Linked DNA regions of Caenorhabditis elegans. The protein of the gene in region 1 interacts with the protein of each later gene in a pairwise test. Each region holds a gene or a part of one and is shown on either strand. Other genes may lie near its edges.

Region 1 (8,725 bases):
ATCTTAAAAACTCTATTTACAAAATTTATGTGATCAATTAATAATTACTGTGTTCAGGGAAGCTCTTTGGTATGCGTCTTTGGTTTTGGTTTTCTCTGCTATAAGAAACTCCGCGATACTCTTGCGATAGCTTCAAAAGCGGCAAAAAATGTTGAAAAACAGTTATTCTATGCATTAGTTGTACAGACATTCATTCCATTTATTCTAATGCACATACCAATTACTTTATTTTTTCTGTCTCCGATTTTTATGCTCAATATGGATTTTGCTTCAAACTTCATCATTATTACTATAACCTGTTACCCAGCTGTTGATCCGCTTCCAATTTTTTTCATTATAAAAAGTTATCGAGAAACAATTTGAAATGCATTCCGAGCCGTTTATCGTTATAACAAAAGTACTTCTCAAGTTGGAGTGACGCATATTATGGCACCTGTGAATAGTAGAGGCACTGCTAAAGACCAACGAAATGAAACTTTGAATCAACATCGACAAGTACAGGAATCCCAGTGCTAAAATTGAAAAAGTTTTGTTGTTTCATAACTTACAATAAATACCCTGAATACTAATTAGTTGACCAAAGAAATTCTTTATTATGGCAGAATCGAAGTAATTATTCCTTCCTTTATGATGTGATACATACAAACTAAAAAAGAGATCCAATGTGACAAAATGCAAATGATTATCAGTTCATACAGTACAAGAGTGAAATATTTTCTTATTTCTTATTAGCTTCAAAAAGCCGGAAATATCCGAGTTTAGTACAAAGATGTACGTTTTTGTTGGCAGGTGTTTTGTCACATACAAAATCTTCTTGGCACAAGCATGAACGAGTTCTCCCGATTCTGCATGGCTCATTCTCCTCGCATGCTGAAAACTTCCAATTTTAGCTTTTTGCTTGAAGTATTAAAATTGAATACTTACTGTGTACTCCAATGATTTCATAGGCGCTTCTCTTTTTGTGCACATTAGTTTGAATGAGTGGCTTGAAAAGTGGATCATTTCTGAGCAGATGCTTCAGATTACAGGCCGTACTTTCTTCAATTTGATCGGTCAGAATAGCAACGATTGAACCTGAAATGAATTTTCCCATTTTCTGTAAGAAAGACATTCAAGAATCACTTCATTTGTTTTAGGTAGGGCTGTCAAAACCAAATCTTCGGTTTTCCGAGTGTTATTTTTGGAGTTTTAGTTTTCTTCCGCTCTCCAAATTTTCCGGTTTCGATGCCCAGTTGTTCAAGAAAAAAAATTTGAGAAAAAACAGGCTTCGGATCTTCCAGAATCGGGTGAAAAAAGACGTCATGGTTAGTCTATTTGTCAGTCGTAGGCACTACCAAAGCGCCAAAACTGTTTTCGGATATGTTTTTAAAAAGTTCACCAATTTAGTTTGTTTTTCAATTTCAAATCTTTCAGGGTTGGAATATGGTATTCAGTGACGTTCAATTTTCAACAAAAAAAACCGAAAAATAAAAACAACCCAATGGGAATGCATTCGTTTAAGTTTCATGATTCTTTGAAGTACTTACACTCGATCTCATTAATTCTTGAATCTTCGATAAAAAGCGATGAAGATATTGTGATAAGAATGCACAACACGAGAAGTTTCATCTGTAAAGTAAATGATTTTAAACCAATAGCGAAATTATATACAAAGGCTGAAAGAATAAAAATTATGGCTGAAGGTGCAAAAATGTAAGGTCATAATTCAATGTCAATAAGGAACTGAGGGGAGCTGACATTTCTTAAAAAGAACAAAAAGGAAATTAATCTTTGTTGGTGATTCTTGAGAAGAATATCCAAATATCTCCACCCACGCTGAGATATAAGGATATATGTACGGAGACAAAGATTAAAAAACTTTTAAGACTTCGAGAGTAATGGGCGGAACATAGAGGAACGTATAAAAACTAAAACTATAGTTGAACGTATACTGAAGATGAACACATTTTCGATTAAAGTACAATTATACGTAGTCTTTATTTTAGTTTATATAGAACTTATGTAGTATCTGTACTTCAAAAAAATGTTGGTTTAGTATATTTTTAGTTATAACCTAAGATTTATTTATTTGTTCGGATAATACATCAGTTCAATTACAACCAATATAATTGAAAAAAGAATTATTGATTGTTTTGTAACTACCAAATGATAATTATTCTAAAAACAGGATAGTAATTTTGTAGTAATTTTTCAAATAGTAATTTTGATAAAGAAATAATTAGACTGCAATAATTTTATCAAATAAAACATTAACTGTATTCTGCTGCTCACGGTTTTTGCAACAGGAAACAATGCTTAGAGGAGCAAGGAATTTGAAGAATGACCAATTGATGCCTTCTCAAAGAATATAAGCTGTTTAGGTTTAAACACCCAAAGTATTCAAAGAGAGTGTCATGCAAATTTGTAAAGGTGAAAGCATTTCAAACGTCATGATGTTACCAAACAAGGAGGTGGTTGTTCGTGATGCACAAAAATTGTTTTGACTTGTTGAGTGGGAGGAGAAGGAAATGGGTTGACGTATTGAGTCAGTTGAGTGTCATGAAGCATTTTTAAAATGCTAGAAAGGGAGTGGCTAAAATCAAACAATCGGATGGGTCAAATGATGCGTGACTTTTTGATTAACAGGCTGGAAATTCTACCGAGTTAAGCACTTTTTCATGATAAGTCTGAAATCATTCACATTTCAAAGTCGCACTTCTTAAAGTTCCTAAAAATACTAGATATATTTTTAGATGGCAACTTTTTTTCTGAAATATTCAGAATAAAAAATATTCAATGCGGCATCAAAAATAGTTTTAAAGGAAGATTACTTAGTATCAATTTATGAGTGATTTAATACTATAAAACAAACAGAAACTCTTATTTACCACTTACAAAAGGGAAGAGATTATGAACTGATATTGATAAAACAAGAGTTGCCTCGATTTGGAAAAAAACAACTTTTTTTCAGTTTCTTAACAAAACAATACGAAAAAGAAATTCAGATGAAGTTTTTGTTCATAAGATTTTTTTTTAAGACAGCGTTATATCGAATCAATATTTTTGGTTTTCTAAAAAAAATAATTTTAATTGGATCGAAAGTTAAATTATTGTTTTGTATTTTTATTGTTCTGCACAACGCAACAAAAAGAGAAACAACATTTAATGGAAAATAAAATGCATCAAAAAGTAATGCTCTCAATTATGGCTCATTTTGAAGGCGTTCGTCAACTCAACCGGAGCAAGGATGAAATGGGCTATTGAAAGAACATTAAAGTACGCACGAAAACAAAACGTTAATTCGAAAATAGGTATTTATGAAAATGATTTTTTTCAATTCTATACGGATGAAAACAATAATTTAAATGTGTCCTGAGGTTATTGTTTTCAAATTTCCTTAAAATTAATTTTGGAATTATTTTTAGAGTTTAGGAAATCACATGTAAAATGGAAAGGCCTCAATTCTGAACTTTTGAACTTTTTTGCGCGGGGTAAAAAATTAGCGCGGATTTACCCAACGAAAAATTTCAAGGATTTTCCAAATTATAAGCTTACAAACCGTTACACAAACAACATTACGATTCAAAATAATTATTCCAGTATAAATTGAATATAAACCTAGCTCAAAATTCGCCAAATTATTACTGATTTGATAATAATATTAGCCAGTAAGATTGAAACCAGAAACAAATATGAAAGAAGATTTCAAACTCGATTACATGAAGCAAGCCTAGAGAGAAAATATCGCAATTTTTCTGAAAACTTAATGTGATACATGTAGTGCCAACTTGGCAGATGTCCTATATGTCTTCGAACGTGAACTTTAAATTTTAAATTCGTCTTCATTTCAGCCACCCACTAGTTTGATATCCGATATCCTACGTCCAGAATTGTGCCGCCCACTTCATAATTTTCGGATAAATATCAGTTTCAAATGGTTACCACATTAGCAAAGTACCTACCACCTATGATCTTCGTTCAAAATTTCAGCTCGTGACTCACTCCCTCTTCTTTTTCATTGCTATAAAATGTGTTTGCAAATGTTATTTGCTCTACGAAACACAAAATATGCAAGTATTGTCGTCGCCCATCATCAAAGTCATAAACGGGACAGTGTCATTAGTTTCGATTCTCTTCGCTTTTTTCTCCCGCATTTTTTATCACTGATAACAAGACCTCGTCCACCTGCTCCCTCTCCTCCCTTTTTTCTTTGCATTTTCAGAAGAAGGACATATCAGTGTTGGCATTGTTGGTTGATTCACAGAGAAGTTATTATGTTCATCACTGCATTAATTGCAAAGGAACTTGGATTGTCTCGAGTTAAAGAACTTAATCCTACTGTCACTATCAATGGTGTCACAACCGTGGAGTTAGAGGTAACTTTATAAATTAGTTCATAGTTGAAAACTCATATATTAAACCAATAGGAACTATTTGAGGGCATTGCAAAAATCTCAAAAACTTTTAACTCAAAATTTAAATGTACTACAGATATCAAGTACTATAAAATTATTGTAACTCCTATTACTGTTAGTTTTTTTAATGGCTCAAATTTTAAAAGGATTTTGCAAATTTTTTAAATATTGCAAATATGATGCCAAAATCGTATACGTTACATTGTCGACTCTCTTAATCTGACTATTATTTTCAACGATTAGAAAAAACCGTCAACGCTAGATTAAGATATTTTTAGACAATTTTTAATGTTTAATTTCAAAAATTTTCGAAAATGTTGCTTGTGAAATTATCTTTGAACTTCACTTTTAAAGGTGCTAGTACGAATTACTTTCCAATGTTTTGTCTTCGTACAAAGCTTTCATGTTTTTTAATTCCATATTACCTCTTTAAAATTAATACTTCATGTTTGTGTTTTTGGATGGAGTGTATTATATTGGGAGTTAAATGAGCACAAAGATTATTCCGGTTATAAGGAAATTTCGTTCAAGTCGTTTCATTTTCTAATGACGTTTTTTGTGGAAATTTTTAACTGCCTGTTTTACTGATAAGAAAACGGAAATATTGTTAAATAAACAAGTTTTTCAAAATTGAACTCAATACGGTTGAAACAAAAAAAAATAATTAAAATATTGGAAGTATAGTATTAGGATTAGATTTAAACTTTCTACGAAATTGTTCCAAATTCGAAAGAAATGTGCCAAAATGTGATACTGAATGACCTTTGAATGAGGCCAATTTCTTTCTCCCGCCCTTCTAGAATATCATCGTTTTCTGGTTTTAGACAGCGGAGGGCCTCTTCCGAGTGCATTTGGTGAGAGATGATCAAGATGTTATAGTGAAACTAGAGGAAGGAAGCAAGCTTGCCGCCTACTACAATTCACTTTTCTGGCATGAGATATCAACGTTTGAGAAGATTCCTATTCCAAGTGCACATTTTAATCGATCGTTTGTTGTGACGGAAGATGAAAACAAACATTCTGTCTATGTTACTCAATTTTTGAAGAAAGGAAGTGTTCGTACCAAATTGGGATTACCAGAATTGGAACAAGTTGCCTCACAGATTGCAAAGTTACACGCTGTCAACTCAAAAACTATCAATAAACAATTCTCACTCAATGTGCAAGAAAATTATGGAAACATCATATCATTCAAAAAGAAAATTCAAAAAGAATTGATTGAAGTGTTGGAAACAGCAGTAACTACTACAGAAGTTGCAGACTACTTCATGAATCCATCCTCAGTTATTGAAAAAGTTGGAATTTTGACTCATTACTTGGAAGATTGGAAAGATGAAGATGCAGATGAAAAGGAAAAACATAATGTTATCGCACATGGAAGATTGACAGCTGAGATTTGCAGATTTGATGAGGATGGGAATTTGGTAGAGATCACAGAATGGGAAGTACGTAATTATTTTTAAAATAGAAAAAACTGCGTTCTACTATAATTTTTACTTTTGATCTTTCAACAACGAAAACCTAATTAATTTAGAACATTCATCTTGGAAATCCAGTGGAGGATTTAGCAAATTTGATTGTTTCATCTGCAGATGTCGACATTCGACGAAAAAAGTTCATGAAAGTGGGTTCGAGAGTCTTATGGGAACGGCAGAGCACCAGATGTTTTTGATGTAATTTGTTTTAATTTTAGATATTTCAAGTCTATTTTTATGCACTTGTTGACTATTACCCACCAAAGTATCAACTGCATGATTTGAAAAGATGGTTCCAGGAATATCAACCTACAGTTCTAATCAATGGGTGAGTTTAGGTTTCAAATTTTCAAATGTTTTAAAAGACCAAAAAGTTGTCGTACTTTTGATATTTTTTATAAAATAGTGTTTTACCGGATTTTCAAGAAAATAATTTTTCAAGGCATTTTAGGTTGCCCCAAATTTTCAGAACACTAGTCCCATTAAATAAAATTTCTAATCATTTCCAGAATCGAGTCTCTACTTTTTACACTGAGTGAAGGTTCGGATGACGTCAAACAAGATGCTGCACGTCGATGGGAGACAGCGTTGAATGATACTGTAGATTTCTTGACTGGAAACTACATTTCGGATAATGAGCACCCATTTCTCTCACAAAAAGAGAATGATGATTGAAGAATAAGATAACGTATTTGCTTTTTTTTTCAAAGAATCGAGAATAAATGACCGAATTCAAAAATAAAGATTGGTCGTTTTTTCTTGGTGACGAATGAATAAATCTTCAATACAAGAACGGAAAGATGCATCTCTTGACAACGTAGATATACGGACGACAAAATAATAAATGTATGACGTGTGAGAAAACACTTGAAGCTTGCTTAAAAAAGGGATTGGGTGTCTTCGAGAAAATCAGAACATTTCTTTCAAATTAAATTATGTAAGAAGATGTTCATATTACAATATATAAATAGCAATATACTATTTATAAATTATATTGTAAATAGATATTAATTACTTAATTTATTTATTTACGCTCGCGAAGAGACGTGGAAAAAGTTGAAGAAAAAAGAAAAATGTACACATAATAGATCATAAATACAATACACTGAATAAGAGGGATAGAAACAAGAAGAATAAATAGGAACGAAAGTTTGTTAACAGGACAGTTAGGTCAGGCGGGAGGAGATAATGTTATGTGGGTAGTTCATGAATCATCAGTTGTCAGACATCTCGTTATTCAAGATCTGATATATGTTTTAGAAACTTGGGGCTACTCAGCGTACGGTTTACAATAAAATGCTTATTGTAAATAATATTGTAAATAATTATATTGAAAATATGTTGAAAATAGAACAAAAAATGCAGCATCCGAAAGTTTCAGATGAAGAGTTTCAGCACTTGGTACATCTATAGCAGATTTTGAAGAGATGTTTGTATCCAAACATCTTTTGGCAGTTGATCAAGAAATTAATGATAGAAAAATATCACACCATAAATTCGCACATTTCTTTGAAAATAAAATCTTTTCAGAGTATTTGAATGTATAGTAATTGTCACAATCTTTATTCGAGAATATCGAGAGGATGTAGTTACACGTCTCCAAGTGAATTAGTTCCTCCCTGTTCCCAATCATAAGGATGTTCCGGTTGAGGACTTCTGCGCATTGCCCGACGGAGAATCTAAAATATTAGGATTTTACAGAAACAATGCTTAACAATTGTAAATAAAACCATACGTTGCAGATATTAACATAATCGGGAGCTGTGAAATAATTGTAGGAATCAATGAGAATCATCACTTCACGAAGTTCTTCCATCGGACAAGGTGCTCTCAAGAAAAGAGCGATTGCTGATGGGTGACGACTTTGTTGCTTGACTCGTGCAACTGCAGCACCATCTGGAAGACCTTTCCATGGAAGTTGTCCAGTGATCATTTCAACGATAACGTAGAAAGCTGATTCTAAATCATCTTTTCTATTCAGTTCTTGCAGTTGATGACAATTCAATGAAGCATATCGAACGGTTCCACGGAATTCAACATTGTCACGAGGTTTTCTCATTTGATTCTGAAAAAGTTATGATTCTTCAGAGTTCAAATGATTTTTGCTTTTCACTTGTCTCAAAAAGCCGAAAAATGGTGTTAATATTTCTTCTGTGAATACACTTGAGAAAAGTAATCTTTACTTTGGAGTCCAAGTAACGTCGTGAAATTCCAAAACTCAAAAGATACAACTTTCCAAGTTCGTTACGATCTTTCCGTCCAAAACAGATATTTGAAGGTTTCAGGTCTCGATGAATGAAGCCACAATTGTGAAGATCTTCGAGTGCTTCGATGAGTTGAATTCCGACGCTCAGGGCACAATTGACTGAGATTGCTCCAGACATGGAGGTTTTCATGTAGTCCTGAAAATTATTGGGACTTTTGCAAAATAGTTTTTTCAGTAATTATTGAGTCATAAAAAGAGCAAGTGTCTCCCAACTATAAAACTATGTCAAGAAAAACGAACAAGTTGATATCAGGATTACAATAGAATTTATGATGATTTTGAAACTATATTGATTGGTTTCTGCTTTTGTTTTCTTGTTTTCTGCATTGTTTTCTGCAAAACCTGTTAAAAAACTAACAACTAGTGCTCTGCCAATCATGTGCATGACAATATAATGTATTCCTTGAAACTTCCCAATATCCTCGATGTCACAGAAATGACGAGATCCTCGCTTAGCAATTGTCTGCAAGACAAATGCCTCAACCTTCAACATCTGAAATATATGATCCACAATTAACACAAGTAAAATTTTCAATTTTGATGTTTCACCTGCAAAGGGCTCTGTGCACTTTCACATTTCAAAGCAAACT
Region 2 (7,508 bases), on another chromosome or scaffold:
CGTTTAACTTTTCCATTTTATAAAACATTTCAATATCAGGTGCTTGAAATCAAAATGAAGATCTCCACTGAGACCACAAATGTGCTCCGGCTCTCCATCTCCATTGTGATCCTGTTCTCAGCTGTCCTAGCCCATGAATTTATTATGGAACCGCTGATCGCCGCGTTGGCAACAGCTGGACGTGGTGGAATTGAACATCGCGATGGGTATCTGGCACTTTGTTTGATCTACTTTTTCAACACAATTAGCTGCTTTTTTGCTCCATATGTGGTGTCCAAGCTCTCGGGGAAATGGGCGATGGTTGCTGGTATGATGACGATTATTATTGTCCATGTAAGCAGGTTTTTGCAGGCGTAGGCGCATTCTTAAGATGGTTTTCGGTCAGGTAGTACCATCAGGAAGTTCGCCAAATTTTTGATCAGTTTTCTCCAACGAATATGAAAATTACCCAATTGCCTTGTAGAATTGACGCAAATCAACTCGCATTCATTTTTAGTACCCCAGATGAATTTGAGTTTATGATGTCAATTATTGCGTGTCACTTTCTGCAAATTTTAGTAGAGCTTCAGAGAATAATGTTTTAAAAGTTATGAAAATGAAAAAAACAGGGTATTAAAAATTAAAAATTATTCCAGCCAGTAGTATTTTTAAAAATTTTCAGAGCTCGTATTTTCTTCCAAATCGATATTTCATATTAATAGCTTCAAGTATTGGTGGATTCGGAGCAACATGTAAGTCTTACATTTTCTTTTTTTCACTATTTTTGCCTAACCTACGAATATCCACTTTTGGAGCTATTTGAGAAGTAGACTTTCGAGCTCAAATTCTTGTTCCTTGAATTTGGCAATAGAGCGCATTTGCAACATCTCTATTTTCACGTGGTGTCAGAGTGTCTACTTTCGGCTTGATCTACGTAAATCTACGAAAAATGCGGGAAAAGAGACGCAGAGTTCTCAGCTGATTTCTCATGGTTAAGAACGCGCTGACGTCACATTATTTTGAGCAAAAAAACCCCCACATTTTTTGTAGATCAAAACGTAAGTCAGGCACCACATGTACTTTTCAGTTATCTGGGTCGGCCAGGGACAATACATCATTGAAAATGTGTCTGATGAGAATCGAGAGAAGAACACCTCCATCCAGTGGGCCCTCTACAAAATGAGCCTGATAATCGGTGGAATTTTCTTCTTTTTCTATTTTCAAAATGAGCCAATTGAAGCAATTGCTAAAAATGGGCAGGTGAGCTTAAGCAGATTTTTTTTTGAAAATTTTCTGAAATTATTTCAGATGGAAAAATTCTTCATGGTTTTCCTGGCCTGTATTGTGATCTCCATCATAAATACGTGCTTCTTGCCACAGAGTGAAATGTCTCGGAATCGAGTTTCTCAGCCATTTTTTCAAACAACTAGTGAGCCAAGTTAAACATTTGAAAATAATTTTAAATGTTCAGAAAACTGCTTCAAACTCTTGAAAACCCAAAGAATGATCTCCCTGGCAGTGTTCTTCTTCTACACAGGATTGGTCAGGTCTTTCTGGATTTGTAAGTTTGAAAATTTTTGCTGTATCAAAGTCCTACGTGCCTACGTGCCTATTTCACTATAAAAATGGGGAATCATCTAACCCCAATACACCATATTTTACGCGCAAATTTAAATTTCCAGCGATCTACCCATTCTGCATTAAATTCACATCGAACCTTGCCTCCAATACCACCAGAATCCTAACAATCGGAATGATTGTCACCGGCTGCGGTCAGGTTATCGGATCGATTTTTGTGGCAATAATTGGAAATAAAATTCGAAAATTTGGGCAACATGTTCTAATTCTTGGCGCCCTTATTTTGCATGTTATCCTATTTCTGATGATCTCTTTATCATTCCCAAATGATGCTCCACTTCATCATACTGATGGAAATGGCCCAGTGTTTCCGTTGAGGTTTTGTTTCTCATTGGAGCTCACTTGCAACCTGTTAAGCTTTCAGTGTCTACTTGGCTATGGCAATTTCTGCACTTTTGGGTTTCGGTGACGCAATTTTGCAGACCCAGATTTACTCGTATATCGCCAAATATTATCAGAGAGACAGTAGTAGTGTGTTTTCGATTTTCAGATTTTCAAGTGTAAGTTTTTTTCCAAATTTTCATGTTTGCTCTAATGAGATCCCAATCCTAGGGAATCGCTTCTACGGGAATATTCTTCGCTGCTCAGTACTTCTACCTGGTGCATCATATGATTTTGCTGACTATTTCAGCTCTTCTCGGGGGATTGGCTATTCTACAGTTTCATAGATCAGTTAAGAATATGTATCAGCAAAGTATTACTTGAAATGTTTAAAAAACAGAAGAAATAAATTTTTCAGAAGCCCCTGTCGTGGTTCTTTCGATTTCAAACGATGTTGGCCGCAAATCACAACAATCGGTCTCGCCTCTTCCATTGGTTGGAGTTTAATTTTTTGTTTTCAAGTTTTAATTTAAAAATTAGAATTTTGTTAATTTTAAATAAATGAATGAACAAAAAGAAAAATACGGTAATTCTCGTGCGTCTCTTATAGGCAGTGGGCTTTCTGATTTGAAAATGATTTGAAGCCCGTAAACTGCAAAGTTTATTCGACTGACTGAAAAGAGTCAGCAGAGAAATGGTAGTGTCACATTCAAATTATACTACTGTGATGAAGCATCTGACCCTATTCCTCTGGAAATTCCGGACGTTTTTAATTCAACAGCATGTCCTGTTGGGGAACAAATTGTAGATTGCTGGTATCTGAATGAGATTCTGAAAATCCCCGAGGAACCGTCGAGAAATCCGTTCGGAGATACTATTGTCTGGTATGGAAAGAGCTTTCAATTCAGAAACTCGTGGAATAATCGACAAATAAACTTCCAACTTTTTTATTCTCTATGTTATCTGAGAAAGTTTTTCGAAGCAAAAAATGGAAAGATGAAAACTGGATTTTTACGGCATTTCAAGGATCTTATCAATTGAAAAACAAGAATCAAATTTTTTGTATTATTTCTATTGATAACACTGCAATTTTTACTGGAATAAATTTTTGTAGAAGCCCCTGTCGTGGTTTTTTTTCGATTTCAAGCAACGTTGGTCGCCAATCTCAATCGGTTGAAATTAAATTTTTTTCACATTTCAATTTAATAATTAAATTTTTTAGTATTTCTCGAGTAAATGAGTGAACTGACAAAACTATGCTTGCAACCCTGAGAGTTGTTGCGGGACCCAGTAATTAACCACGATTATGCGCCTTTAAATAAGCTACGGTACTTTTTTTTTTTTTTTTGAAAATAAAGTCTAAATGATCAATTTTTAACGGATCTGGCAATTTGAAACAAATTATTTGCCGAAAATTGACGAAATATTAACTTTAAAACTGATAATTTCGAGCTTAAAAGCATTTAAACCCAAAATTAAGATTTTCGCGGCAGAACCCAAATCAACAAGTGAGCGGTGAACCTTTAAATGAGGTACGGTGATTCCATGTTTTGAATTTCAAAAATCGAAATTTGAATTTATGTTCCCAAAAATCTTGTTTTTTCGTTTTATTTCTGGATATTATTTTTTGAAATCACTATTAAAAAAATTGGCGAAATATTTTCTAACATTTTGAGCCAAAATATTTATTTTTTCGCCCGATTTATCAACATTTCGTCGAAAAATGAAGCTTTTCTCATTTTGCGCCAGCATACGAAAAAGCCTGTAATACATTTAATCGGCAACTTAAGACTAGTTAATTTGCGTTAAAAATTGGATAAATCGTTTATTTCAGCGCTTACATCGGAAAAAAACGTATTAATTTATTTAATTTCGGCTCATTGAGAAAAATCAGTTTTTAATTTTTCTTTCGTTTTTCAACTCTTAAATTGCTCGATTTTTGCCTCAAATGCGAAAAAATAGTTATTAAAATTCAAATTTTTCTCTTCGTGGCGGGACCCAAATCGCCAAGTGAACTGTCAAACATCTCAATTTAAATTGATTTTCAGAAGATGTGCTCCCTAAATGAGCTGATAACGGGTATTAAAGAACTCCCGGAGCCAGATCTCACTGCCAGTCGACTGATGGATGCAGCAGCTGATTATGTGCCTTTGAAGGTAGTTATAATTTCGAAAAAAAAAAATCTAATTTTCCAAAATAAAAACCACATTTTTCCAGCTTCGAGGACATATTGACGCCAAAGATATCAACAGTAGTCCTAAAACATTGGAAAATGGCGGAACTGAATTCTTCCAGGCACTCATCGATATCACACATCCTAGACTCAGTGGGTAGCTAGGGAATTTTCAAATTTATATTATTATTAAATATCAAATAAAATAAATTACAGGATTATATGGATCTGGAAAAGAACTCGCCGAGAATGTGAGAATCCACAGAAACTTTCCGACAAGTCATGTAAACTTCAAATTGTATCCTACAGAGCCATTTTTTATAACAGATTTGACTTTTTGATTCATGATTTATTTGAGTTATTTTCAGAGATCCCCGATAATTTATAAAAGTCTTGACAATAATCAGTATATCTACAAGACGGACGTTTTCATCATTATTCAGAACATTTGTGGTTACCGAAAAGATTCCACGGTAACATTTTATATTAGGATGAAATCAAATCAAAATAGTTAATTTCTTCGTTTTTCAGAATAATATTATAGAACTCAACAGATTTCTCGAAGTGATGTATCTGAAAGCACGAGAGGAGACGAGTCGAAAATATTTGGAATTTGTGCGTTTTGATGCGGATTCGTTTCGAAAAATCGAGAAAAAATTCGAGAAATTCAATCAAGGAGCATGTTTCGTTGATAGGGTATGTTTTAGACTCAAAAATTGACAAGTTTTGAGATTTTCCCATAGCAATTTTTCAGGAAATGGAGAACTTATCCAGTCGCTGGAACAAAGGAACTCAAATGGAGACCATCTTCCAATCGTTCAAGAGCTTGATTCCAGTGAAATGAAGTGATTATCAGTACATGATTCTTCGCAATTTTGTGGTTTATCTTTACGGATCAACTGACCCTGAATTTCGAATTTTACCTCTGGAGCTCTACAAATTCGAAAAATGGCTGGAGATTTTTCAAAAAGTTTTTGAGGAGTATCCAGAATTGTTCTCTCCGGTGAGAACTGATAATAATGTTTGAAATCGACGTGAAAATGCGCTCCGCCCGCGAACCATGGGTCTCGTTAGGTTTTTGGCGGCAAAACCGTAAATTGAAAATATTTAAATTTATGTCTCTGTCGCCAAATACCTAATGAGACGTTATCAACCAAAAATTAGTTAAATTTAATGATGAAAATGCTAGAAAAGATGCGATTGCGCTGGAGGAGGTTATGGAGAAATATGGAGATCAAGTGAAATCCATTGAGTTCATTCAACATCCGATCCAAAGAGCCAAGCACAAAGCTGTACCGATTGAAGACTTGAAGCCTGGAAGCTACTGTATTCTAGCCGTGGATGCGCTTTTCGAGCTTTTCAATGAGATTATTTGGGGTTCGAGAGTTTTCGAAAAGCATAAAGTTCCCAAAATTATTGAATATGTTTTGAAGATTCCGACTCTGCTCTTCAAGTCTGAGCTTGTATGTTCATATTATTGCTACACAGAATTTAATGGCAATCATTTTTTTTTATTTACAGAGATTCCCACATTTCATAAAAACTGCCCATCTTCATAGATTACTGGCGTCGTTCGAAGTTTCACTTTCGAGCTTTCACTTTCCTGCAAATCCAGTGAAAGAAGTCAGAAACGCAAAGGCTGATCATGGATTTACTCTTCAAAATTTGAAAAACGAGCTGACATACTTGGGACTCACGGAAACGTTCCCAGACATCACCGATTATGCGGAAATCGCGTACAATGAAGTGATGAGGGTCAAGAAGGAGATGCTCTTGAGAACTTGTGATCTCTTCGATGCCATCGAGCACTGCCAACTGCTGTGTATCTTCAATAGATCACCATTTGTAATTTTTCGAAGCCATTTTCCGACTATAACATTCAAATTTTCAGCTGAAGCAGTTTCTCCATAATCAAAAGGCATGTCACCGTCTTGTCGGTCTACATTGTGATCTGTGTATCAAGGAAAAAGTGGAGAAAAGTGAGAACCAAGAAGCTTGGGATTTGGATGAAAGCAGCTCGACTAAGTCTCCAATCGACTGCAAAAAATGCTCTCAAACTCTCCAAACAATTGAAGACGTCAAAAAAGAGTTAAAAACTAGTCAGAACAAGGAAAACAAGATGAGAAAGAAAGTGTCAGAGCTGGAGAAGAAGCTGGATGTCGAGAATGTGCAGAATGAGCAGGAAGTCAAAGAGATGGAGGATGATCTGCGTGGAAAACAGGAAGAACTGAACATATTGAGAAAGTAATTACTTTTATTGGTTTTTTTAAATTTTGATCATTTAAATTTTTCAGCGATTCCCTCAAAGTCCATGATGTTTTGATGGAGATTGCCGACTTGAAGCAGAAGCATTCGAAATTGGAGAAACACGTGGAGGGACTGAAAGAAGAGAATTTGAAGTTGGTTTTACCCAGAAAAAACCCCTTAATTTTATCTAAAATTCTATAATTTCAGACAAGAAAGAAACTATAATCTCACACAATCCAATCTGGAAGCTAACCTGTCGAGTATGAGAGAAGGTCTTACTATGTGCGGTTTCTCACCCGTAAATTCAAATTTAACGTTTTTTTTTCTTTCCAGATTGCAGCAGTATACTGAAGAGCTTGAGCAGGAACGTCAGAAGTATCAAGAAATGCTGACGGCGAGATCCGAAGAAACTTCAGTTCAAGCTGAACCAGCTGGTGGCGAGGAGGAAATGCTCGATGTGACGAAACAAATCGAAGAGGCTAAAGAAGAGAAAATTCGTTTGAAAGCTGAACATGATGCCAATGAAAGAATAATTCAGCAACTTCTCGATAAATTGGCCAATTTTTCGTAATTCTTTGAAATTATTTTGATTTGTTTTCTGTTTTTGTTGTTGTTGAATGATTATCGTTGATAAATATTTTTGTTTTATTTATTTCTTACTGGCTTTTTTTATATGCAAAGATACAGCTCTAAACTTGAAAATTTTCACCAATGAGTCGTGCGCCTTTAAACGTGATACGGTATTCCACTTTTCGAAATTCGATTTTATGTTCCCAAAAATCGTATTGTCGTTTTATTGCTGGATTTTTTAAAATCACTACCAAGAAAATCGCCGAAAAATTTTCTAGCAATATGTTTATTTTTTTGTCCAATTCATAGAAATTCCGCCGAAAAAGCTAGTTTTTTTTTCAATTTCGTTCATTTCTGCGCTTACATGAGAAGAAAAACTTTTAAAATTATTTATTTTCGGCCATTTGGAATTGAAAAATCCGTTTTCACTAATCCATTCGTTTATCAACTTCTCAATTGCTCAAATTTTGCCTTAATTACAAAAACTAAGTGTTTAAATTTAAATGTTTTCTTTTCGCGGCGGGACCCAAATCACCAAGTGGGCCGTGCGCCTTTGAAGATACGGTAACCATGTTTCGAA

Evidence for each region. Proteins that work in one complex are often made in the same cells at the same time.
Region 2: the proteins of C50F4.1 (region 1) and C16A11.5 interact in a two-hybrid assay, tested with the Caenorhabditis elegans proteins (one large-scale study listed by BioGRID).

What each region holds. Positions count from the first base shown.
Region 1 is NC_003283.11:9,522,592-9,531,316, forward strand, and holds C50F4.1 (CHK kinase-like domain-containing protein), read left to right. Parts: upstream 1-4,201; 5' UTR 4,202-4,253; coding exon 4,254-4,355; intron 4,356-5,218; coding exon 5,219-5,839; intron 5,840-5,928; coding exon 5,929-6,018; intron 6,019-6,087; coding exon 6,088-6,197; intron 6,198-6,378; coding exon 6,379-6,544; 3' UTR 6,545-6,659; downstream 6,660-8,725. Other genes in the region: C50F4.9 (Cocaine- and amphetamine-regulated transcript protein), read right to left, coding at 719-870, 925-1,074, 1,527-1,608; C50F4.10 (non-specific serine/threonine protein kinase), read right to left, coding at 7,459-7,548, 7,605-7,934, 8,053-8,271, 8,494-8,628, 8,685-8,725.
Region 2 is NC_003280.10:4,219,325-4,226,832, forward strand, and holds C16A11.5 (FRIGIDA-like protein), read left to right. Parts: upstream 1-3,980; 5' UTR 3,981-3,989; coding exon of another isoform or gene 3,990-4,094; intron 4,095-4,155; coding exon of another isoform or gene 4,156-4,264; intron 4,265-4,327; coding exon of another isoform or gene 4,328-4,395; 5' UTR 4,396-4,409; intron 4,410-4,479; coding exon of another isoform or gene 4,480-4,584; intron 4,585-4,642; coding exon of another isoform or gene 4,643-4,807; intron 4,808-4,854; coding exon of another isoform or gene 4,855-5,114; intron 5,115-5,300; 5' UTR 5,301-5,328; coding exon 5,329-5,574; intron 5,575-5,632; coding exon 5,633-5,956; intron 5,957-6,002; coding exon 6,003-6,355; intron 6,356-6,405; coding exon 6,406-6,510; intron 6,511-6,565; coding exon 6,566-6,640; intron 6,641-6,691; coding exon 6,692-6,929; 3' UTR 6,930-7,008; downstream 7,009-7,508. Other genes in the region: F31D5.1 (UNC93-like protein MFSD11), read left to right, coding at 55-333, 662-731, 1,067-1,239, 1,288-1,408, 1,451-1,540, 1,662-1,935, 1,982-2,117, 2,170-2,311 and 1 more.